Linked DNA regions of Mus musculus. The main gene of each other region encodes a partner of the protein of the gene in region 6 in a complex. Links are inferred from orthologs where the notes say so. Each region holds a gene or a part of one and is shown on either strand. Other genes may lie near its edges. The genes, in order: Fbxw11, Ctnnd1, Pak4, Cdh1, Cdh26, Ctnnb1 and Bcl9.

What was found.
Region 1: the proteins of Ctnnb1 (region 6) and Fbxw11 are in contact, whole or in part, in a crystal structure (PDB 6WNX), measured with the Homo sapiens proteins. The link is inferred for Mus musculus from reciprocal best matches to the Homo sapiens genes CTNNB1 and FBXW11. Residues at the interface, in NP_001091679.1 of Homo sapiens: Leu31, Asp32, Ser33, Gly34, Ile35, His36, Ser37, Gly38, Ala39; in NP_036432.2 of Homo sapiens: Tyr244, Arg258, Ser282, Leu284, Ser298, Leu324, Lys338, Ala364, Ala365, Asn367, Gly381, Arg383, Arg404, Gly405, Ala407, Ser421, Leu445, Arg447, Tyr461, Arg494, Phe496.
Region 2: Ctnnb1 (region 6) and Ctnnd1 share a complex: the UniProt entries of both Homo sapiens proteins name them as parts of the cadherin:catenin adhesion complex. The link is inferred for Mus musculus from reciprocal best matches to the Homo sapiens genes CTNNB1 and CTNND1.
Region 3: the proteins of Ctnnb1 (region 6) and Pak4 are in contact, whole or in part, in a crystal structure (PDB 6WLX), measured with the Homo sapiens proteins. The link is inferred for Mus musculus from reciprocal best matches to the Homo sapiens genes CTNNB1 and PAK4. Residues at the interface, in NP_001091679.1 of Homo sapiens: Lys672, Arg673, Leu674, Ser675, Val676; in NP_001014831.1 of Homo sapiens: Ser331, Gln358, Thr404, Asp440, Lys442, Ser443, Asp444, Phe461, Leu475, Val476, Gly477, Thr478, Pro479, Tyr480, Trp481, Met482, Glu507, Phe516.
Region 4: the proteins of Ctnnb1 (region 6) and Cdh1 are in contact, whole or in part, in a crystal structure (PDB 1I7W), measured with the Mus musculus proteins. Residues at the interface, in NP_001159374.1 of Mus musculus: Leu148, Ala149, Arg151, Ala152, Glu155, Leu156, Leu159, Asp162, Val167, Lys170, Ala171, Val173, Met174, Gln177, Leu178, Phe253, Ile256, Thr257, His260, Leu264, His265, Asn290, Lys292, Phe293, Ala295, Ile296, Asp299, Gln302, Ala305, Tyr306; in NP_033994.1 of Mus musculus: Asp788, Val789, Ala790, Pro791, Ile813, Asp814, Asn816, Leu817, Ala820, Asp821, Pro824, Ala826, Pro827, Pro828, Tyr829, Asp830, Ser831, Leu832, Leu833, Val834, Phe835, Asp836, Tyr837, Glu838, Gly839, Ser840, Gly841, Ser842, Glu843, Ala844.
Region 5: Ctnnb1 (region 6) and Cdh26 share a complex: the UniProt entries of both Homo sapiens proteins name them as parts of the cadherin:catenin adhesion complex. The link is inferred for Mus musculus from reciprocal best matches to the Homo sapiens genes CTNNB1 and CDH26.
Region 7: the proteins of Ctnnb1 (region 6) and Bcl9 are in contact, whole or in part, in a crystal structure (PDB 3SL9), measured with the Homo sapiens proteins. The link is inferred for Mus musculus from reciprocal best matches to the Homo sapiens genes CTNNB1 and BCL9. Residues at the interface, in NP_001091679.1 of Homo sapiens: Leu148, Arg151, Ala152, Glu155, Leu156, Leu159, Asp162, Asp164, Val166, Val167, Lys170, Ala171, Met174, Leu178; in NP_004317.2 of Homo sapiens: Asp349, Leu351, His358, Arg359, Ser362, Leu363, Thr365, Leu366, Ile369, Gln370, Met372, Leu373.

Annotation. Positions count from the first base shown.
Region 1 is NC_000077.6:32,641,158-32,645,354, forward strand, and holds the start of Fbxw11 (F-box/WD repeat-containing protein 11), read left to right. Parts: upstream 1-1,397; 5' UTR 1,398-1,733; coding exon 1,734-1,778; intron 1,779-4,197.
Region 2 is NC_000068.7:84,616,241-84,619,740, reverse strand, and holds part of Ctnnd1 (catenin delta-1), read left to right. Parts: intron 1-2,797; coding exon 2,798-3,261; intron 3,262-3,500. UniProt on the Homo sapiens protein: Key regulator of cell-cell adhesion that associates with and regulates the cell adhesion properties of both C-, E- and N-cadherins, being critical for their surface stability.
Region 3 is NC_000073.6:28,563,685-28,567,184, reverse strand, and holds part of Pak4 (serine/threonine-protein kinase PAK 4), read left to right. Parts: intron 1-1,913; coding exon 1,914-2,372; intron 2,373-2,538; coding exon 2,539-2,979; intron 2,980-3,500. UniProt on the Homo sapiens protein: Serine/threonine-protein kinase that plays a role in a variety of different signaling pathways including cytoskeleton regulation, cell adhesion turnover, cell migration, growth, proliferation or cell survival.
Region 4 is NC_000074.6:106,651,850-106,655,349, forward strand, and holds part of Cdh1 (cadherin-1 preproprotein), read left to right. Parts: intron 1-1,657; coding exon 1,658-1,801; intron 1,802-1,914; coding exon 1,915-2,070; intron 2,071-3,500.
Region 5 is NC_000068.7:178,461,515-178,465,014, forward strand, and holds part of Cdh26 (cadherin-like protein 26 isoform a precursor), read left to right. Parts: intron 1-1,071; coding exon 1,072-1,257; intron 1,258-3,500. UniProt on the Homo sapiens protein: Cadherins are calcium-dependent cell adhesion proteins. They preferentially interact with themselves in a homophilic manner in connecting cells; cadherins may thus contribute to the sorting of heterogeneous cell types.
Region 6 is NC_000075.6:120,932,270-120,936,199, forward strand, and holds the start of Ctnnb1 (catenin beta-1), read left to right. Parts: upstream 1-1,130; 5' UTR 1,131-1,369; intron 1,370-3,930. UniProt on the Homo sapiens protein: Key downstream component of the canonical Wnt signaling pathway.
Region 7 is NC_000069.6:97,213,865-97,217,364, forward strand, and holds part of Bcl9 (B-cell CLL/lymphoma 9 protein), read right to left. Parts: intron 2,762-3,500; 5' UTR 2,502-2,761; coding exon 2,449-2,501; intron 1,565-2,448; coding exon 1,248-1,564; intron 11-1,247; coding exon 1-10. UniProt on the Homo sapiens protein: Involved in signal transduction through the Wnt pathway. Promotes beta-catenin's transcriptional activity.

The DNA.
Region 1 (4,197 bases), on a different chromosome or scaffold from region 6:
TGCTCCCTGGGAATCGTTAGAGTACTAAGTCATCCTCTTTACAGGGGCAAAGAATTGAAACAAACTTGAGAAGCAGGCAAGCAGGCACTGCTACTGTGAAGTGGGCTGGGTACAATGAGCCAGGCCCTTGAGACACTTTATAACAGCTCTGACTGCCAGGTCTCCTGTAAACATAAACAACTTAACAGTCCGTCAACATTAGACAAGGCCATTCTGTGGCCTTAGCTTATGGATCAAGACAAAAACAAGACCACCCCATAATCATTTGTGAACACAGATAAAACATGGACATTGTCCAAGTCCCTGAAACACAGCTACAAGACTAAACACTTGAATCTGGCTAACAGGAGAGGCTGTCAACAATTACTGGATTAGTTTTAATCTAATATAACTTCCCATAGATAAGGCTGAGGTGCCCAGTCTTATACCCCCACTTCCCGGCAGTATCTGCTCCAAAGCCCCTTCAAATCCTTTTCTACATTACCTAAGGTCTCTTACTGAGACGTCCCTGCTTCATCATGGTGTATGTTCATTTCTACTTCAGCTAGGAAAAAACCCACCTTGTTCAACTATCAGCGTGTTCCTGGGGGCTTTTGGTTCGAGGGTATTGACAGACTTGGAAGTCACAAGGAGTTAGAGGTTCTCTGAAGTCTCTAGATGCGTTTCTTCATATCATTTCTAACTCTTAGTCAATGTCTGCTGTCTTCCCACTAGAATTAAGCTGAATAAGAACAGAGGTCTCTCCGGTCATTCCCAGTGCTTAGGGCAGTACTAGTAGAAACTGAATGCTTAAAAATAAGTGTCTTCGGCCGGGCGGTGGTGGCGCACGCCTTTGAGGAGGTGGAGGCAGGCAGATTTCTGAGTTCGAGGACAGCCTGGTCTACAAAGTGAGTTCCAGGACAGCCAGGTATACAGAGAAACCCTGTCTCGGAAAAAAAAAAAAGTGTCTTCAAAATGTATAGCTTCTTTCTCATGGCTCAGCTCCTCCCAGTCAGTGTGGCAGATCTCCACACACCGCTTTCCCAGCTCAGTCTCCAAACTCTTAGATGCCCATCTTCCTTTAATTGTGTCTTCGACCTCGCGGGCCCCCTCCCACACTTCCTAGTGCAACCTGGGACCCACCTGTCTCCACCATCTGTCCCTACCAAATGCAACACACACGGAACGGCAGCGCTGCAGCCTAGACGACTAGTGGGCACCGCAGACACCCACTGCGCATGTGCGGAGATCGCTCGCTCGCACTGCAAAGATCTCCGACAAGTGAGGAGTTGCCTCGGAGTTTCCGTCCAGGTCCGTGCGGCTACGGGCTGCCAGGAAGTCAGGAACGACCAACCGGAAGAAGACCTCGCGCGCGAGGATTTCTGGGACAAGTAGTCGCGGCGCTCGCGAGGCCCTATCGCGAGCAAGCCCTAGATACTCCAGCTCTGCACGTCCGGCACTCACAGCCCTGCGCTCCCCTAGGTGCTCTCTCCGGTGGCAGAAGCCGGCAGATTGGACCAAGCGGCTTCTTGCTCCCACAAAGCTGCGCGAGCCGCCGCGGCTGCCGGGAGTTGTAGTCTTCGCTGTGCGTCCTGCGTCGGCCGAGGGTGAGGGCGGAGCTGCGGGCGGCCCGGGCGGGCTGGCAGCTAGAGTGGGTGCGAGAGCTGCCTCCACCGCCGCCGCCGCCACCGCCTCCTCCGCCCGGGCCGATCGCTGCTGAGCGGAGAGAGCGAGGCGGGGCCGCCGGGGCCGCCATGGAGCCCGACTCGGTGATTGAAGACAAGACCATCGAGCTCATGGTGAGTGCGGCCCACTGGCCTTCAGTTCTTCCGGCCGGCCGGCGGCCGGGGGGCCTGCCCACCCCGGCGTCCGCGCCAGGCCAGCCCTCGTTCCCCGCCGCCTGGGCCCGGCCGCCCCCCTGCTATGGCTCGTTGCTGACGCTTCGCGCTCTTGGGCCGGCACGGCCTCCACTCCCCGCGGCTCCCCCAACCCCCTCCTTGCCGGGCTCCGGCCAGTCTCCGGCGCCCCAGCCTCGCTCCTGCCGGAGCCACTGCTCACTCTTGCCTTGCCATCACACTCTGTTTTTAGAAGGGGATTTCTTTTTCCCTTCCCTGGATTCCTCTGGCCGGGCCTGCATCGCGCCTCCCAGCCTCGCTCAAGCTGAGGGTGATGGTGGTGGAAGGGAGTCCGAGACCAGTTGGAGCCGCTTCGGCCTCCATAACCTAGGCGCGGGGGGTGGGGTGGGGTGGGGTGGGGTGGGTGGTAGGGGTGGGTCTCAGCACCCTCGCCCCAAGCTACCGCTGTATGGATGCCAGGATAGCCCCATTGGACTGGGATGTTGGGGGTGCCTACGAGTCTGAGGCTGTTCCGGATAAGGGGCCTATTTTCCGGGCCCCTGCGGTGTCAGGCTTCTTGGACAAAGGGTTTCCTACCCTGCCGTGAAGGATGTTTGTATAGCAAGGCCCTAGGTACTCTTGAATTCCATCCCCCAGGAAAGGGAAACCATAACTTTTATCATTTGGGAAATGAGAGGGGAGGGAGAAGAGGTCGCGCTCATCACTGCCACCCTCTCTTATTTTAATAATAAAAAATGGGAGGGGGGTTTCTTGGCCCACGGATAAGCAGCGATCCCTGTACTGTTAGGAACCATTGGTAGCCAGCCTGGTCAGGTCTCCCCGGACACCCCTAACCCGTTTCTGACCTCAGACTTGGTGCTAGAAAGGTTTTTGGAAACAGGACTCTGAGTCTGGGAAAGTGAAGGATTTGCTCATTGGCGGAAGAAATAAAGTATGGCTGACTGGTATTACCTGCCAGTTTGAACGTGAGGGAAATCAAACTGGGCCCAGGAGAGTTGGGGAGGAAATCAGCCTCTGCAAATGAACATACAAAGGGCTTCTTCCTGTGAAAACCTTGATAGTTTTCTTTGTATCTCTACTGATATAGTAACAACTAGTATCTGCTCCACAGTATTAAGAAAAGGTGAAAGATCTGCTGAACTTAGCAAGATGTTTTCCTCGTCAGAGTTTCTCCAGTGTGAATCGCTTATTGAGTCAGTGATTCCACTGGGTAGGGTTGGTGACATCAGAGCCACTTCCCCCATTTAATGCTATAAATAATAAATGGTGATACTGAAAGTCTGTTGGATAGCCTCATGGTTTCTGTGGATGATGTTATCCAGGGAGCTGAGGTACACGTTTTAAAATGGAAGTATAGTAGCATAAAATACAGAGTCTCATGTCTGCTGGACTCTGCACAATGTGCAGAACTGGATTGTTGAAAATTAAACCTGGAAGTTTCTGGTTGGTTGTATGTGTTGAAAGGAATTCTGTCACTTTATCTTCAGGTTCTGAGGACTTTTTTCCATTTTCAGAATCGAATTGTTGGTTATAACAGTTTGGGAAACTTTGATAGTTATTTTAACAAAATACCTTTTTTTTTTTTTTTTTTTTTTTTTTTGGTTTTTGGTTTTTGGAGACAGGATTTCTCTGTGTAGCCCTGGCTGTCCTGGAACTCACTCTGTAGACCAGGCTGGCCACCAACTCAGAAATCCGCCTGCCTCTGCCTCCCAAGTGCTGGGATTAAAGGCGTGTGCCACCACTGCCTGGCGACAAAATATCTTTAAAAAGTTGTTGTTTAATAGGGAACAAAATAGCCATGAAAGGAGTTACAGAGACAAAGTTTGGAGCTAAGACAAAAGGATGGACTATCCAGAGACCACCCCTCCTGGGGATCCATCCCATAATCAGCCACCAAACCCAGACACTATTGCATATGCCAGCAAGATTTTGCTGAAGGGATCCTGTTATAGCTGTCTCGTATGAGGCTATGCCAGTGCCTGGCAAATACAGAAGTGGATGCTCACAGTCATCTATAGGATGGAACACAGGGCCCCCAGTGGAGGAGCTAGAGAAAGTACCCAAGGAGTTGAAGGGGTCTGCAACCCTATAGGTAGAACAACAATATGAACTAAGCAGTACCCCCAGAGCTCGTGTCTCTGCTGCATATGTATCAGAAGATGGCCTAGTCAGCCATCACTGGGAAGAGAGGCCCCTAGGTCTTGCAAACTTTATGTGCCCCAGTACAGGGGAATGCCAGGGCCAAGAAGTGGTAGTGGGTGGGTAGGGGAGCAGGGCAGGAGGAGGGTATAGGGAACTTTCCGGATAGCATTTGAAATGTAAATAAAGAAAATATCTAATTAAAAAAAAAGTTGTTTATGTA
Region 2 (3,500 bases), on a different chromosome or scaffold from region 6:
CTCCCTTTCTTTCTTCCTTCCCTTTCTTTATTCTTGTTATTGTTGAGACAGGGTATCACTATTTAGCTCTGGCTGGTAGACCTTTTTTAAAGGACCCATTTTAGGCTTTGTGTGCTGTTCATTAGTGCCTTTGTCATGTCTCTTGTCGGGATTTCATATTTTTAAAAGGTTATTTTAAAAACTCTTACTTATGGGTGTGCACAAAAAAACATGTTTGGTCTTGGGCTGCAAACATTACTTTAAAATCAGGGTCTATATTTTCCAAGTTAAGAAATAAAGGAAGGCTTATAGTTATCTTGATAGTGAGGGTGCCCTGGCAGCTGTTCTCAGTCTTTGTAAGTAGGTTCATGACCTTCCAAAGCAAAGGTCTTGGCACTTTCCAAATGTATATTAGGTGGTATTGGCTAACCATAAACTGAATTAGTCTGGGACAGGAGTAGAGGCCCTATTATCTAAGCCTGAGTCACTGACACTCTTCAGATGGCGTGGTTAGCAAATTCAACTCCCATGTGACTCACCTTTTATTCCTAAAGGGGCACCAGATCTTAGCTGGTGTAAGCTAGCTAGGGTAGATAGATAGCAGCTATCATTAGAAGAGTCTGCCCAAGGAGTGGGGCTGAAGTCTGCTTGCTCTGACTTCCTCAATAGCCAAGAGAGATTAGACACAGGTGGGTGTGGATGACCAGACTGTTCCCTGCTGTCCTTTGAAGTGCCAGTCACATAGAGCGGGTTTGGGGCTTGGTTCTTGGGTTTATTCCAGGGTGACATTGAGTTTGGAATCCTGCTTGACTAGCAAGATTCTTGACTAGAAGAATTCTGCTTCCTGTTTCGGCCTTCAAGAATAGTGCAAGGTCAAACTTTCATAGCAAGGCAGTGATTAGTGGCAAAAGCACTGAACTTGAAAACCCTGGTTTTAGTTTGCCTCTGCCATTATCTATAGAGCCTTAAGCAAGTTATTGGGTCATTTGTGCAGTTTTGTTATTTGTGAAAGAATCTTGATCTACTGCCTATGAAAGAAGGAAGTATAAAGATAGACTTCCTTGAGTGACTGAAACAAAATCTGGCAGTGGCAATTATTTTTATAGTTGCTTGTCTTAAACAAGAAAAGTAAAATATGCTCAGCATACAGCCTAAAACACCATTCTCTCATGGACAGTTTGGTGTTTCTTGGGGTTTTCTTGAAAACATGTATCCTGTTTTCTCATTAAAAGGAAATATTTTTTCATATAGTGTTTAGCAATCTGCTTTTAAAACAAAACAACTTACTTTATTTTGTTTAAATGACATTTTAAGTTTAAAGGTGCCTTTACTATCAACCCCCTACTTCCCTTGGTTTTTCAAGACCAGGGCTGTCCTGGAGCTTTCTCTGTAGACCAGGCTGGCCTTGAACTCATAGAGATTTGCCCTGCCTTTGTCTCCCAACTACTGAGATTAAAGCCATGTGCCACTACTGCCAAGTCTATTTATTTTTTAATGAAATGATTTGTTCTACTGAGTTTTTTATTGTTTAATGATCAGTGTTGATACCTGTTAGGTAGGCTAATTTTCAATGTTTGGTGACTGTGGGAGTGGTTTTATGGAACAAGCAAGTCTTATTTGGAGAGTCCTACACAATAGAGTCCCCTATCCCAGTGGGAGCCCGGGGGGGGGGGGGGGGGGTTGGGTTGGTGGTGAGTGAGGTGAGCTCATAGATAATAGGGTTCTTCCTTTGTACTTATAAATAACAGTGTGACAGGCTCACCCTCTAGTGGGTATTGATGGTACTGAAACAGGAAGTGTTGCTTCTCATCTGACATCTTTCAGTTTCTTCTTCTGATCCAAGAGCTGGGACATTCCAATATATGTTGGTGTATAGGTGCCATTTGGCAGACATGGAAATGTAGAAGTTGAAGGATGGAACTCTTCTTGGAACATACCTGTCTGACTGAATAGCACGTGAGGCCCTGGGATGAACTGTGACAGCTAGTGTTCAAGTTTATGCCTCAGTAGTACTAAAGCTAACTCCTCAACAATATAGCCAGAAGTCCTCTGTTTTTCTTGATCAGTGCCTCTTCAATTTCCAAAATAGGGCGAGCTTAATAGTTTTGTTCCACTAGCTCTTTCCTGTGTGCGGATTCCTTGTGTGTTCTCTTTGTGATGAACGTTCCACATACTTGTCTTTCTCAATCAGCAAACTTCACAGGTTACTTTTTAAAATTTATTTATTTATTTATTTATTCATTCATTCATTCATTCATTCATTCATTGGTTTTTTGAGACAGGGTTTCTCTGTGTAGCCCTGGCTATCCTGGAACTCACTTTTTAGCCCAGGCTGGCCTCGAACTCAGAAATCCGCCTGCCTCTGCCTCCCAAGTGCTGGGATTAAAGGCGTGCGCCACCACACCCGGCCACAGGTTACTTTTAAGTTATTAAAATTGGACCCAGGGAGAGAGTTCAGTTGGTGAAATGCTTTTTGCACAACATGAGGACCAGGATTTGAGCTCCAGTACCTACATAACAAGCTAAGCTCTGTGGTGGCAGAGATAAGAGGATCCTTGGGTCCTGCAGGACAGTCAGACTAGTTTATCAGCAAGCTTCAGATTTGGGAAGAAACTCTGTCTCAAAAAAAAATAATAATAATAATGTCGAGGGACATTGAGAGTACTTGCACTTGCTCACAAAATTATTAAAAATTGACCATACAGAGGAGACACATGATCTCTGTAGAGCTGTGATCCTACCTTGAAGATGATTGGTAATAGGAATGTCTATGAAGCCAGATTTAACTGCTTGGTTCTTTGTTCTTTCAAAATTGCAGGAGCTATGAAGACATGATTGGTGAAGAGGTGCCGCCTGATCAGTACTATTGGGCTCCTTTAGCTCAGCATGAGCGGGGCAGTTTAGCAAGCTTGGATAGTTTGCGAAAGGGAATGCCCCCACCTTCAAACTGGAGACAGCCTGAGCTGCCAGAGGTGATTGCCATGTTAGGCTTCCGCTTGGATGCTGTTAAGTCCAATGCAGCTGCATACCTGCAGCACTTATGCTACCGCAATGACAAGGTGAAGACTGACGTGCGGAAGCTCAAGGGTATCCCGATATTGGTAGGATTGTTAGACCATCCCAAAAAGGAAGTGCACCTCGGAGCCTGTGGAGCTCTCAAGAATATCTCTTTTGGACGTGACCAAGATAACAAGATCGCCATAAAAAACTGTGATGGTGTTCCTGCTCTGGTCCGATTGCTCCGAAAGGCTCGTGATATGGACCTGACTGAAGTGATTACTGGTGAGTGCCAGGTTAGAGGTCACTGTTAATCTATAGACAGGTATGGATCTAGAACTTTCTAGACTCTTAACTTTTAATTAATTTATTGAATAATTAATTCTTTTTGAGTCAGGGTCTCACTGTGTAGCTCTGGCTGGCCTAGAACTCACTATGTTGAGCAGGTTGGACTTGAACTTGAAGTAATCTACCTGCTTCGGCCTCCCAAATTCTGTGATAAAAAGCATACACTACCATGCCTG
Region 3 (3,500 bases), on a different chromosome or scaffold from region 6:
AGTAGGCCCCTCCATAGTCCCCAGACAACCCACCCTAAACACTCCCATGACCCAATGAGCTTTGTGGTCATTTCTCACACATTGTGTGTCCCCAAAATTTCACCACTGCTCTATGCACCCTTGTGTTTCCACACCTTTCCACAGTCCTGCCAGGGGAAGGACACTTGTCCTAATTCCCGTGCAGGCAGGCACCTTAGCTGGGACTGCCTAGATGACAAGCTTCCTGACCACTGACTCAGGTTCTAATAGCAGAGCCTGGCAGGTAGCCCCTGAAGGAAAAAAGAAATGAAAAAGGTAAACATGCCTGCTCCTAGGTGTGGTGGAGGAGGTTATTGTGGGTATGAGGGAGAGCACAGCCAGAGGCAGGGGCATCTGGAAGAGGCCAGAGTGGACATGACTCTGAGCCAGGTGAGGAGAGGGGGAGGGAAGAGCCAGGAGGCCAGGAGGGTAAAAGGCAGCAGAGTCAGCGCAGCCAAAATGGCTGGATTATATAGGGAAAGGCAGCTGGGGGAAGGCAGTCCAGGGGGAAGCAGTGGATGCCGGAAAGAAAGACCCTGTAACAGGTAGGGACTGAGGGATGCTGGGAAATGCTAGAGGCCTGGTCTGCTTTGATATGTCAAATAGGCACCTCAGCCATTTGTCCTGGGTTTGAAACCTAACATCCATCTTTCTTGACTCCCTGGACAAGGCCAGGCTTTCAGGCAGACAGCCAGGGCCCACAAGAGGCTGGGACCACAGCATGCCATTAGGAGCCTTATGGACTCCAGGTCGTTCCCGGGAGCTCAGTATAAACTCAGCCTCAGAGACTATCCAGGCAACTCCCCACCTCTCCTTCTTGCCTTCCTCCTCCCTTCCTTCCTTCTTTTGCAAAGTACCTTGTTCTTGGTGTGGACTCTGATCTAGGTCCAAGACCTGGTAGGCTGTGAATGGTAGAACAAGTGCTCAGCCCCGGGAAGGCCACAGGGTAAAGCAGCATCCTGGGCTCACAGCCTAGTCCGCTGCAGCAGGCCTACAACCCTGGTTCTCAACCTGTGGGTCACGACCCACATAGTGGATATTTACATTACAATTCATAACAGTAGCAGACCACAGTTATGAAGTGGCAATGAAATAATTTTGTGTTTAGGGTCATCACAGCATGAGGAATGGTCGCAGCATTAGAAAGGCTGAGAACCACTGTTCTAGAAGAAAAAAGGAAAGAGCCGGAGACTTGTGGGCTGGCATTTAAACTAGGGGTTAGCAAGTCCTCAGAGAAGGAGGTTTTGATCAGAGACCTCTGGGAGGGGAGTGGGACAGCCATGGAGACATTTGGGAGATGTAGGGCAGGGCAAAGAGCTGATGGACACACATCCAGTGTATTGGAGGAACCGCCTGATGTGCCCAGTGCTCAGGAGGAGCCAAGAAGACCACACCTCAGTGGGGCAGGGAGAGTGGAGGCTTGGTGGTTCAGGGCATGTTTCAGTTGACGCTTGCCACACAGCTCCCAAGCCTCCTAGCTTTAGGCTGTGGGCTTTCTATTCTGCGCCACATCCTCTGCCCTAGGGGATCAGAGCTGCGTGGTTTGAGGGTTAATGATGCTGGCAGCCTGCAGGGGAGGAAGTGCTGAGCCAAGCGGCCTGTAATTTGCAGCTCTTGGGGGCTGATTATAGGCTGAGTTCTCCTCCCTCACCCTAGTCCACAGGGCAGAGCTTGCTGCCAGGCTGGGAGCCAAGGAAAGTCAAGAGGCACTTGTTGGGGGAGCACCAGAGTGGGTGGTGGGCGTGACAGCAGCTCCTGGGGCTCCCACCCATCATCACAGGCTATCACCTCACCTGTCTCTGTCTTGTTTCTGTGTTGTATTGTCTTTCCTGTGTCGGATGCACGACCTGTGTCCCCTCCTTCCTGGCCCTACCCTGCCATTGCCTGGACCCCAGACCATCGTTCGGGGCAGCAAAGGTGCCAAGGATGGGGCTCTCACTCTGCTGCTTGACGAATTTGAGAACATGTCGGTGACGCGCTCCAACTCCCTACGCAGAGAGAGTCCACCACCACCTGCCCGTGCCCACCAGGAGAATGGAATGCTGGAGGAGCGGGCAGCCCCGGCCAGAATGGCCCCTGACAAAGCTGGAAGCAGAGCCCGGGCCACAGGCCACAGTGAGGCAGGCAGTGGCAGTGGTGACAGACGGCGGGTGGGGCCAGAGAAAAGGCCCAAATCTTCGAGGGATGGTCCAGGAGGACCCCAGGAGGCCTCCCGCGATAAGCGCCCACTCTCTGGGCCTGATGTCAGCACTCCTCAGCCTGGCAGTCTGACCAGCGGGACAAAACTAGCAGCTGGCAGGCCCTTTAACACATACCCACGGGCTGACACGGACCACCCACCCCGCGGTGCCCAGGTAACCCATCCCCCACTTTAGCACCTCAGTATCCACTCCATTGTTTCCCTCCCACCCCCCCGCCCCTATTCCAGTCCATAGCGCATTTCTCATCCTGACCACAGGTCATCCGGATGGTGAGAGTTAATGCAGACTCCACTCACAACGCCTCTTTCTTCTGTTGCAGGGGGAGCCACATACCATGGCCCCTAATGGGCCTTCAGCCACAGGCCTGGCCGCTCCTCAGTCTTCCTCCTCCTCCCGGCCTCCCACCCGAGCCCGTGGTGCTCCCAGCCCAGGAGTTCTGGGTCCCCATGCCTCTGAGCCCCAGTTGGCCCCCCCAGCACGTGCCCTTGCTGCCCCTGCTGTACCTCCTGCCCCTGGGCCCCCTGGGCCTCGCTCACCACAGCGGGAGCCCCAACGAGTGTCCCATGAGCAGTTCCGGGCTGCCCTGCAGCTGGTGGTGGACCCAGGGGACCCTCGTTCCTATCTAGACAACTTCATCAAGATTGGTGAGGGCTCTACAGGTATTGTGTGCATTGCCACTGTACGCAGCTCAGGCAAACTGGTGGCCGTCAAGAAGATGGACTTGCGCAAGCAGCAAAGACGTGAACTGCTCTTCAATGAGGTGGGTGCTGGCCGGGAAGCCCAATGCTCTGCCCTCCTCTCCTCACAGCTGTCCCAGGCTAAGACTCCTGCCTGTGCCTGTCATCCCAAGTGCCCATGACTTTGTTCCAACTAGTCCTGGGCCTGTGTTCTCCTCCAGACCTCTTCTCCTTCAGGGTTCCTGTCTCTGGGATGCTCTGTCATCCGTCACTCGAGACCACTGCCCAGGATCCCCTTCCTCCAGTCCCTCTTCTGTGAAGCCTCTTTCTCCCACCCTTGGGCTCCAGCTTTTCTGTCAGGCCTCCCCTGGGCACTCCATGTATCACATCCGAGAAAGGAGTCCTTTGCAGCCTTGACAGACCCTCCTAATGTCTCCCATGTCCTCAAGTCAGAGTTCAGCTCCTTGCCCATCAGATCCTGTCCCAGATAGCTCAGAACCAGACTTGGACTTGAACTTGGTTCGACCCCGTTTCTGGCTCTGGGTGTCAACCTTGGCATCCATCACAAAGGCAGTTCTGAAGTGTGTGGGTGTGACAGGTACCT
Region 4 (3,500 bases), on a different chromosome or scaffold from region 6:
ATTCTTGGGGGCAGGGGGGACCAATCCAGAAGGGCTGAAAATGTAGCTCAGTTGATGAGTTCTGATTTAGAGTACATGAGGCCCTGGTTTCTATACCCTACTATCACATAAATGCACCCATCATCCATCCTTTGTTGAGTGGAGGCAGGAGGACCTGAAGTTCAAGATCACCGATGGCCCGCATAATTTGAAGCCAGACTGGGCTTCATGAGATTGTTTCTAAAAATGTTCCAACCAAACAACAGACAGACAGGAAAGAGGGCCTGGCTAGAACTTGGCAGGCTGTGGTCTCTGTTGATGTAGTGTCTTCCTGTGGAGGGTAAGGATGAGATCTTGTAGAAACTTTGTTACCAGGAATCATTCTAAACCAATCCAGGAGGTGTCGCCTTTCATCTTAGGCTTTCCTGTTTCCCTGAGTGTGCAGGAAGTTATCTTTATTGCACATGAGAACTGTTCAATGCAAGTCTCCAGGTAATTTTTGTTTCCTAGCCCAGCTGCTTCTGTTAGAACAAATGCAACCCTTACAGATATAACACAATAAGATTAACATGTTTGTATCGATCTCAGAAATAGTTCTTTTTTTTTTTTTTTTTTTTTTAGATTTATTTATTATTATATCTAAGTACACTGTAGCTGTCTTCAGATGCACCAGAAGAGGGCGTCAGATCTCATTACGGATGGTTGTGAGCCACCATGTGGTTGCTGGGATTTGAACTCAGGACCTTTGGAAGAGCAGTTGGTGCTCTTAACCACTGAGCCATCTCTCCAGCCCCTCAGAAATAGTTCTTAATAGCAATTCCCCAAACTCGTTGATTGATAGCTCCACTTTGGTGAGCTGTATCCCTAGGGAAACAAAAGAAGAGAAGCCTAGAACTCCCAAATAGCTAGTTACTGAATTACTTCTGACATTATCAGTGTATGGCTTAAAGGGCATGTACCATATAAGTTTGAAATAACTTTTAAATACAATTGTCAAATGTCTGGACCCACAAATTTTGTATGCACAGTGATTATTTGAATGCTAAACATTAAGGATTTAATGAGAACAACCTGGTGGTGATGGCACATGCCTTCAATTCCAGCACTTGGAAGGCAGATGCAGGTGGATTTCTCTTGAGTTCAAGGCCGGCCTGGTCTGCAAAACAAGTTCCAGGACAGCAAAGGGCTACACAGAGAAATCCTATCTCAAACCAACCAACCAACCAACCAACAAACAACAACAAAAAAACATACTAACACGGGTGGTGGTGGTGGGGTTTGCTTGGGTTTTTAACTCTGGAGGTTCAAGCCCATATGATACTTTATTCTGTCCTCTAATTGGGCTAGCGTACTGGAGAGTAAACCACTTGTCATATGATCCAGAAAGCAAAGATGAGACTCGGGTCTGAATATCTTCTGTGATCTGAAGGCCTCTCATTAGCCACTAAGTTAGGGAACCAAGCTTTTAGGCATAGGAACTGTGGGAAGTCAGCGTCCAGACAACAGTATGTTTATTTCTTTGGCTTAAACTTTAACTGTTCATCTTGAATGGTACAGGTAATTTGTCATTGAGAATGAGTCACTAAATTCAAGATGGTGGACGTCCATGGGATGGATGAACTGTTAGACCCGTATGTCTTCTGCATTACCTCATTTTGTTAATCTTCTTTTCTCTTAGGACCCTGCCTCTGAATCCAACCCAGAGCTGCTCATGTTTCCCAGCGTGTACCCAGGTCTCAGAAGACAGAAACGAGACTGGGTCATCCCTCCCATCAGCTGCCCCGAAAATGAAAAGGGCGAATTTCCAAAGAACCTGGTTCAGGTAGGAGAGGAAGTTGGTGGCAGGCTCTGCCCTCTTGAGAGAAGAGAAAATGAAAAGACCCCATGTTGAGATCTTCCCTGGCCAGTTCTGATCCTCTTCTGTTTTGTGTTCAGATCAAATCCAACAGGGACAAAGAAACAAAGGTTTTCTACAGCATCACCGGCCAAGGAGCTGACAAACCCCCCGTTGGCGTTTTCATCATTGAGAGGGAGACAGGCTGGCTGAAAGTGACACAGCCTCTGGATAGAGAAGCCATTGCCAAGTACATCGTGAGTAATTTTGTAGACACTTGTTGGCCACTGGGTAACGGTTGTCAAATTTTGGGAGCAGCTGGTGTTTTATCCCCAGTTTGGATGCCCTGGACATATAAGTAGCTTAACTTATCTTAAAGTTGGGATGGTGAGTTGTTGATGTTGTAGGGATTCCTCACATCATACATGAGCTTAGATGGAAGCTGTAGGAGTGGGCCTGGAGGAATGGCTCAGTGGATAAGAACATTTGTTGCCCTTGAAGAGAATCTTGAGTTGAGTTCCCAGCATTCACATGGGTAGCTCACAACCACCTGAAACTGCAGCTCTGGGTGTTCTGACACCGTATGACCTCCCTTGATAACTGCACAAAAGTGTATGCGAACACACACAGAGGCAGAGACAGGCAGAGACAGGGATAGAGATAGAGACAGAGACATACATACATATACATGCTGGGGACTAGCCTGCTCTAACAGGTATGGAGGTGGGGGAGCCTTGGATAAAGCTAAAGGCTGGTGATAGCTTCAGAACTCTTCCTTGCTGTTTTGGGGGTCAGAAGCTGTCTGGCAATTTAACTCTCTCACTATTCTGTGGCTAAAAGCTGATGATTTCTGGCAATTAACTCCTGCTGATAGCAGCAGGGGATTAAGAAAAGAAGTTAGTTGCTTAGGCTGTCTCCTTTTTGACTCTGAGGCTGAGAGTTCTGTTAACTCTTTGTGGGCCAGAGAGAAAGGAAAAGACTCTACTCACTCTGGATGAAGCAGAGAAAAGAATCTCCAACAAATCTTTATTTCTGTTCTCAGTATACACACATTCTCTGAAAATTACCTCATACAGCTATCAGGTAGAATTGATTACATGATTTTTTTTTTTCTTTTTTTCTTTTTTCTTTTTTGGTTTTTCAAGACAGGGTTTCTCTGTGTAGCCCTGGCTGTCCTGGAACTCACTCTGTAGATCAGGCTGACCTCGAACTCAGAGATCCACCTGCCTCTGCCTCCCAAGTGTTAGGATTAAAGGCGTGTGCCACTGCTGCTAGGCTTACATGATTTTCTAAACACTTTTCCATTCTGTAAGTTCATAGTAAAAGCAGCAGTTCATGTCATAAGGTTTAAGGAGTTAGAGCAGAAATGTTTAATCTCTTCCCATTAAGATAGTATCTGACTAAACATCTGCTATCTATCTTTAGCTCTATAAGTTCAATATAAGTAAATAATTTTTTATCACAAATTAGCACGGTTTTGTGGAGATAAATCACCTACCTTTTGTCTTATTAATTTTAAAGTTTTATATAGATAAACTAGTCAATATTTTATTTGTTGTCTTTGCACCTACAATAAATTATCCATTCCCAGTTTATGACCTTTCGTTACCAGATAGTGACCTTGTTCCTAACCAGAAGGAATGTTTTCCTTGGTCATAAATTTGTTCCAAGCCTGCTTTCTTTTCCT
Region 5 (3,500 bases), on a different chromosome or scaffold from region 6:
TAACTGTTGCATTAATGATTCAAGCAATTAATTTTAAAAATGTGTCATTTAAATTTTTTTAATTACATAAACCAACGTGGGATGTTTTCAGATGAAAGCAACTCATCCAAATGTTTACACAAATGGCAGAATAATCTTACAGTGAAGCCTTGAATCAGAAGCCTCCCCTGGCTTAGGACAAAGCTATGTGTTCAAACGTAAGCCTGGGGAAAAATACATTGCTGACCTGCTGTGCTTGCTCGGAGACCTATCGCCACAAAATTCTGAAAATCCAGCCATTTCAAGGAACCACGTGTGCTGGAAAGATGGTCACCTTGATCCAAACAAATCTCTCTCTTGTTGAGGAAGAGCTGGGGTACTTAAGGCTCGTAGGCTGAGATGTGTACTGCATCTGATATCTTTATTATGCACTGACTATGCTTAAAATCACCCAGCTGTAGACACGGAGTCATGCCATTTGTCATGCCATTTGTTAGAAGGATCCCGCTCCTGACTCAATGGTATTTTCTGCTATAACTGGAGGAATGCCAATACCCGGAGCCTGCGGGTGTCTTGCTAAGGACCTACCTCTCCCTCCTCTCGGTTCCTGCCCTCCTCCTCTTGCTTCCTGCATCCCTCCTCTCACTTCCTGCTCTCTTCCTCTTGCTTCCTGCATCCCTCCTCTCATTTCCTGCTCTCTTCCTTTTGCTTCCTGCATCCCTCCTCTCACTTCCTGCTCTCTTCCTCTTGCTTCCTGCATCCCTCCTCTCACTTCCTGCTCTCCTCCTCTCACTTCCTACCCTCCTCCTCTTGCTTCCTGCATCCCTCCTCTCACTTCCTGCTCTCCTCCTCTTGCTTCCTGCATCCCTCCTCTCACTTCCTGCCCTCCTCCTCTCGCTTCCTGCATCCCTCCTCTCACTTCCTGCTCTCCTCCTCTCACTTCCTGCTCTCCTCTTCTCACTTCCTGCTCTCCTCCTCTCACTTCCTGCCCTCCTCCTCTTGCTTCCTGCATCCCTCCTCTCACTTCCTGCTCTCCTTCTCCATGGTGTGTCTTTGTGCCAGTGACATGGAAACGATGATTATTTCTTCCAGTATGAGATTCGGATTTCTGAAGGTCAAGTCGAACAGGGTGTGTTGTATCTCCCTGTCCAAGATGGAGATTCTCCATTTACACCAGCATGGAGAACACAATTCAACATATGGGATGGCAACGAGGAGGGCCATTTTGATATTGTGACTGACCCTGAGACCAACCAAGGGTTGTTAAGTATTATCAAGGTAAAGTCAAGACCGGGTTGTGGTGGGTGTTGTAGTCCTTGTCTGGAGGACAAGCCATAATGCCTGAGGGGCTGGTACCTGCTAAACACTCACTGTGTGTCAAGTGTGTGTTGTGCCCTGGGCAACCCTTAGAAGAATGCAGGAGCAGATGAGCCCTTTGTCTAGAGGCCAAGGACTCCTCTTGCAGAAATGATAATAACCAACTTTTAAAAATCTTATTTGAGTGCCTGGTGTGGTGGCGCACGCCTTTAATCCCAGCACTTGGGAGGCAGAGGCAGGTGGATCTCTGAGTTCGAGGCCAGCCTGGTCTACAGAGTGAGTTCCAGGACAGCCAGGACTACTAGAGAAACCCTGTCTCGAAAAACGAAAAAAACAAAACAAAAACAAAAAACAAAACAACAAAAAAAACTTATTTGATGCTTTGATGTTGCTGTTGGAGGTAAAATTTACTATGTTCACATGAGCCCTGGAGGTTGGATGTTGTTGTTGTTGTTGTTTTGTTTTGTTTTTCCTGATGCAATGAAAGTGAACTTAAAAATTTATTCATTTTCTTGGTAAAGGGTTTCAAGTCTTGGAGACTGCCCTTGAATTCACTATGTAGTAGAGAATTCCCTTAAGTTTCTGGTCTTGCCTCTAACTCTGCAGTGCTGGGACTGTGGGTGTGCACCCCCATGCTTGCTTTGTGTGGTGCTGGGGATCAAGCACAGTACCTTGTGAGGGCTAGGCAAGGGCAGGACTGGTTGGGCCGCATTCCCATTCCCTTTAAACAGGCTTCTCCAACTAAAAGTTCTTTTAATCTCCTGGGTTTAAAACATTTTAAACATCTGAAGTGTAAACATTGGGGCATGTGTGATGAGCAGAAGAATCTATCTACTACATGCAGTGGAGTAGCTGGCCCTGGAGGGAAATAGTCTTGCCATATTTTATAGGTGAGGAAATAAAAGATCAGACCGATCCCTTTATATAGAGTCACATAGCTGAGAGGGTGGCTTCTGACAGGGCACTGCAATGCTGAGTCTTTGTGGCTTTCAAGGAGACACAAGGATGGCCAGTGCCTTTCATCGTACAGCAAATCAATTGCAAGGACCAGCTGGAGTCAATACATCTGGTACAGTCGAGAGTTTGCCTGTTAGTTGAACAAGTTTCAGGAAATACCAAGGAGTGACAGTCCACACTGTGCATAGCAAGGTCCCTGACAGCCTTCTGCACAGTCGCCTGCCACTGAGTTATTTGTCAGAAGCCATCTAGAAAAGGCTAAGATGTGCAAGTGAGTTTTCTGGAGATGAGCTACCATCTTTACAAGGCCTTCAGTGGGAGAGCTGTGAGATGCAAGGTCACCAAAGACTTCATTCTAAGGAGACACGGGAAACCTGCCTCTGCACTTTCCTGCCATCAGCAGTCAGATCTCCCCTTCCCCACTTTCCCAGCATAGATGCCTCTGGCCTTTGGAGAGGTCAAACAGAAAGGGGCCAGCCTGGCACTGGAATATTGCAATTCATTTTTTCATGGTGGCACTCCCTTCCCCATAACGACCTCCCTGGGGCGGAGGTTGGGGATGGAGGGGCAGCGGCAGATGCCAGCTTTGGGAACAGACAAAAAAGCAACATACCCTAGTCCCTGTGTCACCAAGGCTAACACTCTCCTTGATAGATAACCAACATTTCTCCAGTGCAGATGGCTCCTGCCCTTGAAGGGAACAAGGACCAGACATTCTTGAATTGATAAGAGGCCCACTCTTAGACCATGAGAAAAGGGCAATTAAGTGTTCCTAAACAGCTGTGACCAGTTTGTAAAAATACACCAGCTTCTGATAATACCATAAAATTACTTTCCAGGTCAAGAAGGTCCCCTCCCAGCTGCATGGTTCCATCCTGATGTCTGAACAAATGTTATCAGGTTTAAAACATGGCTTTCCCCTGTCACCTCTCCAGTCATACAAACCCAAAGATAGAGGATCCCTGCTTGTATATATATATATATATATATATATATATATATATATATATATGTATATATATGTATATATATGTATATGTATATATATGTATGTATATATATATGTATATATATGTATATATATGTATGTATATATATATATATATATATATATATATATATATATACACACACACACACACACACACACACACACACACACACACACACACATATATATACTCCAAGCCCCTAGACACAGGCATCATATCCCTAACCTGCCCAGTGGGGAAGGCTTTTGATTTAGG
Region 6 (3,930 bases):
GTAGGGCTTTGGTAAAATACCTTTTCCTGCTCTATCTCTCTGAGTTATGGCAGGCCAAGTCAGCCCCAGCCAGCAGCAGAGTTTACTCTCCGGAAATCCGAGCAGAGCTGCAGAGGGGAAAGGTCTAGACAAAGGCCCTCACTGAGCAGCTCCAGCATGGTGGACTGTGGTGGTTCACAGAGTTACGGTGATATGTCTTTAAGATAGAAAATTGAGTCATTTAAAAACTAAGCTGGCCCTACAGCACCGGCCCTGCCTCAGTGATGCATGGGCTTCCTGCCAGTACCTGTACATAAGGACCTATTGTTTACTTGCGTTAATTACAGCGCTGGGATGAAAGAAGGCAGTGGGGCAACTTTCCCTGTTGCCATTGTTTGGGAAGAGACGTGAGCTCAGAATAATAGGCTGGAGACAGCCAATTCACCCCAACTGCTCCAGTTTTGACAAGTGCCAATCGTGAAGGACAACAATGGGGCCATTTCCAAGAGAAGATCCAACTTCACCCTATTGTCATGATTTGGGGGGGGGGGAGCTCTCGAAGGATACAAAATTAGTTTTGAAAATTTAAGAGGTTACCCACAGGTCCTCTCAGCAACACACTCGAGTTTCTCAAACAATACAGAAAAATCGCTGTCCTTGGTCCCCACGCCTGGTTCTACTGACCCAGTGAGTCTGGGTAAGATGGGGTTTCTAGGAATCACGCTGGTGAACGCAGTGGTGGAGCTGAATCACTTGTTAATAGATGTTCGCAGACACTCTTGGGGACTCCAAGGCCTCCTGGGGTGGGGAGGAAAGGTGGCTGGGCCCCAGGTTCCCTGTCCGGATTCCAGAGGCACAGCGGGAAGGGAAGCGGGACACTCCTGGGAGCGGTAAAGTGTGGTGGGGTCCAATGGTGGTTCAGGGGTGTGGCGGCCGGTGCACCGGTGATGGCAGCCTCGAACCTGCGCCGTCCGAGGCCGCACTCCACCCGGCCCGCGGCGGCGGCCCGCTCTCGATTCCTTTAGTTTCCAATGGAGCGGCGTCTGGACGCCCCGCCCCGGCTCGGCCCCTCCCGGCGGCGCACGCGCAGAGCGACTCGGACTGGCGGGGACTACTTTCCCCGGCCCGCCCGCGCCCCGCCCCTCGTCCTCGCGCGGCGGAACGCTCCGCGCGGAGCGGCAGCGGCAGGATACACGGTGCCGCGCCGCTTATAAATCGCTCCTTGTGCGGCGCCATCTTAAGCCCTCGCTCGGTGGCGGCCGCGTCAGCTCGTGTCCTGTGAAGCCCGCGGCCCGGGGAGGCGGAGACGGAGCACGGTGGGCGCCGAGCCGTCAGTGCAGGAGGCCGAGGCCGAGCGGGCGGCCGCGAGTGAGCAGCGCGCGGGCCTGAGGTGCGGCGCCGCGGCGGGCCGGCTCGCGCCGCGCCAGCGGGAAACTTCGCGGGCCGGGTGGCGGCGGGAGGCCGCGGGGACGCGCGGGCTGGGGCCGGGGCCGGGCGGGCGCGCGCCGGGAGCCCGGATGGACGGCTGGCCGCCGTGGGGGGTGGGGACCGCGGTTCGCGTCCGGGCTGGGGCCGCCGCGGGGGCGGGGTGGGCGGGGGCCTCGCCTCCGTGGCCCGCGGAGCCGGGGGGACGCGAGACCTGGCGCTCGTCCCCTCTGTCCCTCGTGGAGCACGCACAGACAAATTTTTTTTTCTCCCTGCAACGACCTGACTGTGAGTTTGAATCCAAACAACTTTAAGCCGTGGAGTCGCCAAACTTGGATGCAGCGGGCGGGATGCGTCAGGAGCGTGTTCTCGGAGGGTGGCTTCTTGGACTCGCGTGGGGTTGGTGGCTGCGGGGCCGAGGTCCTGGCGGGAATTTGGGACCGTGGACGAGTCACCGGCCACTCCTGGTGTTGGAGGCGGGGGGGGGGGGAGGTGCGCGGGATCCGAAACCTGGGCTTGGGGGAGGGGGACTTGCCCTTAGCCAGTAAGTGTGGGGTCCGCTCCAAGTGTTTCTCCCCAGCGCGTTTGCTTTCTGAGCGAGACGGAGTGGCCGGAGCGCGGACCGCCAGGGCGTGGGAGCCTGGCGACTTGTTCTGAGTGTTGTTTGGGGGACCAGACTTGGAACCGACGCTCCCAAGTTCGGTACCCCAGGCCCGCTCCGGTGAGCCCGCTGGCTGCGGGGCAGCTTTGTCTCGGGCTCGGGTCTCCAGACATCTGTGGGCTCCCCTCCCCCGCGCCCCCCGCAGCCCCCCTCCCGGGGCCTGAGCTCTGAATGGAGAGCGGCTGGGCTGCTGGTATGCGGAGGTCGGCGAGAGGAAATCGAGGAGTGGTTTTAGTGAAACGAGAGCTTTGTGCCATGAATAATGGTGGCTTAGACCAGACAGCAAGCTGAGGAGACGGCAGCTTTGCCTTTGATAAAGTCTGCCTCATGTTTTTCACATGGCCAAGTTGTGAAGCGTTTTGTCTGGGATTTAGGAAGCCATTTCGCTATTTACTTGAGGTTTGCAGATGTCTCAGTGCAGTCTCTCCTCGTCCCGGGAAAGAGCTTGCTTTCTTGGTTCTAATTTAATGTTGCTTAAGCTTGTGGCCTTTGTATTTCGGTTTTGTATGTCCGGCTCAAACTTTGAGTTAAGGCCCGCAGTTACATTTAGTTCACTTTCACCTTAAACATTCAGAAATCCCCGAAATTAAAATGAAGTGCCTCCAAGGTTTGTTTGAGAACGCCCTTTCACAGCGGACAACATTGTTGATGGTACTGGGGATAGTCATTCTGTGACCTACCTAACCTTTGTCCTCAAGGCCGAGTCTGGACAAGGCCTTTAGTGGTGGCAAGGAAGTTGGAAACTTGCAGATGTTTCTCTACAACAAACCCTCCCAGGCTGAAGTCCTTAATTAAGGAAGCAGGCTATCTGGAAAGCTTAGCTTGCCTGGGACAGAGTCCTGGGCCTCACAGTCTGTAAAAAGACTATCTTCAGATAGGGAAACATTTAATCGAATGCAGGCGTGAAGAAATAGAGTTTAACTGTCATGTGATCATTTCTCATAGTCTAGAGCAGTGCTTCTCAGTCAGTCTTCCTGATGTTGTGACCTGTTAAAATAGTTTCTCAACTGTTATGGTGACCCCAACCGTAAAACTTTCCTTGCTACTTCACAACTGACTTTGCTACTGTTGTGAACCATAATGTAAATGTTTTCCCACGGTCTTAGGTGACCCCTGTGAAAGGGTTGTTGAACCCCCAGATTGAGAACACTAGTTTAGAGACTGTATATTGGGTATCTATGTCTCCAGCTTGAAGGGAAGTATCTACTGCTGTAGTGACGATGGGACTAGAGACTGTGAGTGAAGCCTTAGCTCACGAGTCTCAGAATCCCAGAATCCCACCGCCAAGGTGGAGGATGGGGAACTTTCTTAGTCGGAGTGTATTTTGAAATGTGTGCTCAGGAAAACTGGTGGAGCCCTTTTGCAAATAAACTCAGGGCAGAGCATGGACAAGAGCCTGTGCACACTGCAGGTGGCGAGTGGAGTGGAGTGGTATATTTACAGTCGTTTGTTGCTGTACTTCTAAGCAGGAAGTGGACAGTGAAAGTAGATGGAGTCAACTGAAATATCAGTGCTGAGGTGAGGTGAGGTGAGGCCAGGTCGTGGTCTCTGCCCATCACCTAGTGGTAAATTTTTAGTGTCCTTGGCCAGAAGCAAACCCGAGGGACAAACTCCTGAAACGGTGTTCACAAACTCGTAAAAACCTTGCAAACGTACAAACATTTTAACTCCATTTTCTTTTGTTGTTTTGTGGCCCCTGTCAACTCCTTTTTATTTAAAACAATCTCACTGAAGACATCTTCATGCCACAGAGAGTAAAGTAGATGAGCAGCTACAGTTCTGAGGCCTGTGGAGGCAGCCTCTGTCCTGAGAGGACGCAGCTTGAGGAATGTTAGGCAGCCCTGCGATGCTTGCTCTTCAGCAAC
Region 7 (3,500 bases), on a different chromosome or scaffold from region 6:
GAATTACATTCTAAAAGAATGAAAGACTCGCTGTCACGGGGAGAGCAGGCGGCTCCTCCCAGCCGTCCTGCTAGCATTTACAGCGTCATCACAACACAAATCCACCTTGAAAATTTCAAGAGCAAGTTCCTTGCTAAGAGAAATTGTCTCTTCTACTCATATATATCAAATACTTTCCCTAAATGACTCATTATGCATCACTCCTCCGCCCTCCCCTGTCTACAGCACACACATTAGCATGAACGTCCCTCCTTTCCGAAACCTTTTAGACACGACAGGATACCCCTGGTAATCAAACTCATAGCTCCCTTCTAGTAACTTAGTATTTATCATATTTCATACGGATGGTCTGATGATGGCTGGCTTTCTAGGTGCCCTCAAGTCCTTAAGGATGACAACTATCTGTCCTGCTGTCTGCACCCTCAGTCCCCAGGAGAGGGCTGGGATTCCAGGAACACTTCAGAAAGGGAGGGGAAAGGGAAGCAGGGAGAGGCAGGGAGGTTATTCAGTTTACACTTTCATTTTGGGCTGAGGAAATCTCACTTTCATTTCTTAAACAACAAACAGTATCTTCACTTTCTGGCCTGCTCTTAAGTTTTTGTTTTTGTTTGTTTGTTTTTTTTTTTTTTTTTTTTTTTTTTTTAGTTTTAATGTAGGAAGAAAAAAGCTGAAAGCCCCATACCAATACTCTTCCCTGACTTGTTCCACTGTGGTGCCTGCCAACTTTCTACCACATCTGGTAGCCACTCATTCCTGCCACACTGAAATCAGCTGTGACAGCTCTGGACTAGTGCCAGGGCCATTAAGGCTTCCCCTTGTGTTTATCAGTCTGGCAAAGTGGCAACCAGAAAGCACAAACCTAAGTCCTGGAGGATTTCTCCAAGGCGGGAATGTCAGAGAAGCTGCTCTAGTGTGGGCAAAAGACACAGCTGACTGCAGCTACTGGCTTGACTGAAGAACCACAGTGCAGGCCAGAAATATGCTTACGAACATGAGCTAGGACTGTAAGATATCTGATCAAGCCACACACCTTCGAGAGCAAGAACTCAACGAAGTGTTCTAGACTCTTCTTCAATGAGGAGAAAAATGAGACGCAGTGGTTTATCTATCCTAAGCTGCAGACTTCCAGGCTCTGCCGCCTCCTCTCCCACTTCACTGACAGCAGCCTCTGGCCTCTACTGAATGTTAGACGCCTTCCCCAGGGAACACCTACTTCCCTCTGAGTCTCAAAGATCTTGTAGACATACCTTTAATGTCAGAGTCATCGTTTGGAGTCCCAGGATCTCTCTGATCAAAGGAGTCGGCCGAAATACTTCGCTCCCTTTTCCCCTTGCCCTTGGCACCATTTCCAGCCCCATTCTTCAGCCCCATGCTCCCACCTGGGCCAGGGAGTGCTTTAGGGGTATGGCCCCCACTCTTGGAGTCACAGGGGGATGGCTGGGATTGGCTGGCTGAGCCCCCCGGTTTACCCTGATTGGAGAATTTGGAATCCAGCTGGGGGTTTCCAGATGGGGACATCACTGTAGGGGGACGGACCATCACCTCCTGCTTTGACTTAGGGCTACTAAAAGAAACAAATAACAAAGAGAGATCAGATGCCAGATACGGCCAGTACAAACTGATATTTCTAGAATGGGTTAAGGAGCCCCTGTGTGCTGCAACCTTGCCCACTTGCTTGTCCCTGCCACCCTGGCTCCCATCTTAGAGCTATCAACAGAGAGGAGGATCAAACAGAATGGCCTCCAGGTCTCAGGAACACTAGAGTCACATGGGGACCTATCTCTAGGGCTTCTGTCAATAAAGGACAACCGTTTCTATGTACATAGAAAAGTGACTCTCACACTAAGACTAGCTCAGAGTAAACAAACAGACATCGTTAAGATCAAAATACTACCACCCCCAGGCTCATGACAAGGAACAGCTGTAATGAAAGCCTAGCTGCTCTGCGGGAACAAGCAAGCAGGCCCAGGAGGGCAGAAGGGAAACCCACTGGAGCTGTCAGGTTAGGGAAATCCTCCAGTGTCCAGATCCCTTCCAACAGCAACACAGCACCAAAGCAGGGCAGGCAGCCTCTGCCCAGGGAAGACAAAACATTCTTTTAAATAACTGGGTACTGAGAATCACAGCAAGGGCTCTAGGTGGTAGTTGGTGGTGGCTTAGTTCCAGGACCTCATTACTCTATGCCTCAGATCCTCAGATGGTGCTGGCTGGTCTGTAAGGTCCTTCTGCTTCTGCTTCGGAAGGGTGGGGAAATGGTACAGGTGGGAGATACGGGAACGGTGGATGAGAGTAGCCCAGAAAAACTGCACTTGTTATTGCTTCAGTAAGTTTCCTCTTCCTTTGCCACGAGTGTCCATCCTGCTTCTAACTGTACCCGCGGTTGCAGCAATGAGTGTGTGTGGTGCCCATGTGCCATGCCGAGGGGTGAGAGTGAGGCCCTGCCCTTACCTCTGTGTGTTTCCTGATGGCGAGCTCCTCACTTTAGGGTTACTGGGATGCATTGATTGAAATCCTGAGCTCTCGGTCACTAACTGAGACAGGCTCACCGAGTTCCTCTCGGGCTGCAGCAGAAGTAGCTGCTAGGGGCAGAGGCGGTTGCCCACTGTTTGCTTGGTGCGTCCCTTAGTGCTGGCTGCCTGTTCGACTTTTTCCTCTTTGTTTTTCTCTGCTGTGGAAGTGGGTCCTTCCCCCTTGAAGTTCCAGCATTCTCTGAGTGTGTGCCTCCTGCTGCTGAAGGAAAATCTCGCATCTCCAGGGCACACTACAGGAGAAGGACACACAAGGCAAGAGGTGAGAGTGAAAATGAACACAGAAACACCTTTCTACAGGGTCATTTGTCTGGGCACGAGACAGCTGCGCATGCCTCCACTCCTGCTGGATAAAGGAGAAAAGTCCTCTTGCAGCCATTAGCTCCAGTGTTTAAGCAACTGAAGGGGACTAAGAATTTCTCATCAGCACACGGGCCTCCCATCCAAGCAACTGTGTTTGTGGTTGAGAAGAGGGAGTTAATTTTCAGCTGTTTATTCTCCCTTGTGTTTGTTTCTGAATGTAACAGTCTCAATGGACTTGGGTTGTCTGCCCCCTCTCCCAAATAATGCTTTGAGACCACTGGGCATTGCCTTCTGATGGTGGGCTGCGGTGGCAAGCAAGGGCAGAGATGTGTAACAAACCCATCCCAATTTCAAACTATGTAGCAAATTATCGATGCTTTTACTCTTCAGGCCTGAGGGGGATGGGGTACTGAAGGAGACTCTTCTAAAAACAAACATTAAGCTAATACCAATACAATCAGTTCTGCCCTCCACCCCCCCCCCATTTCCATGATTCTTCTATTAAATTATGCAGATTTTGTAACTGTGTCCTCACCTTAATGACAGGGACATGGGCAAGCATGGCAATGAGCCACAGACTGGAAGGTAAAGGAGTATCTTTGAAGGCTAAGATATTTTTTGAGCCAATTTGCAAGGCTAATTTGAAGCATAAAGGTCAATAAAATATTA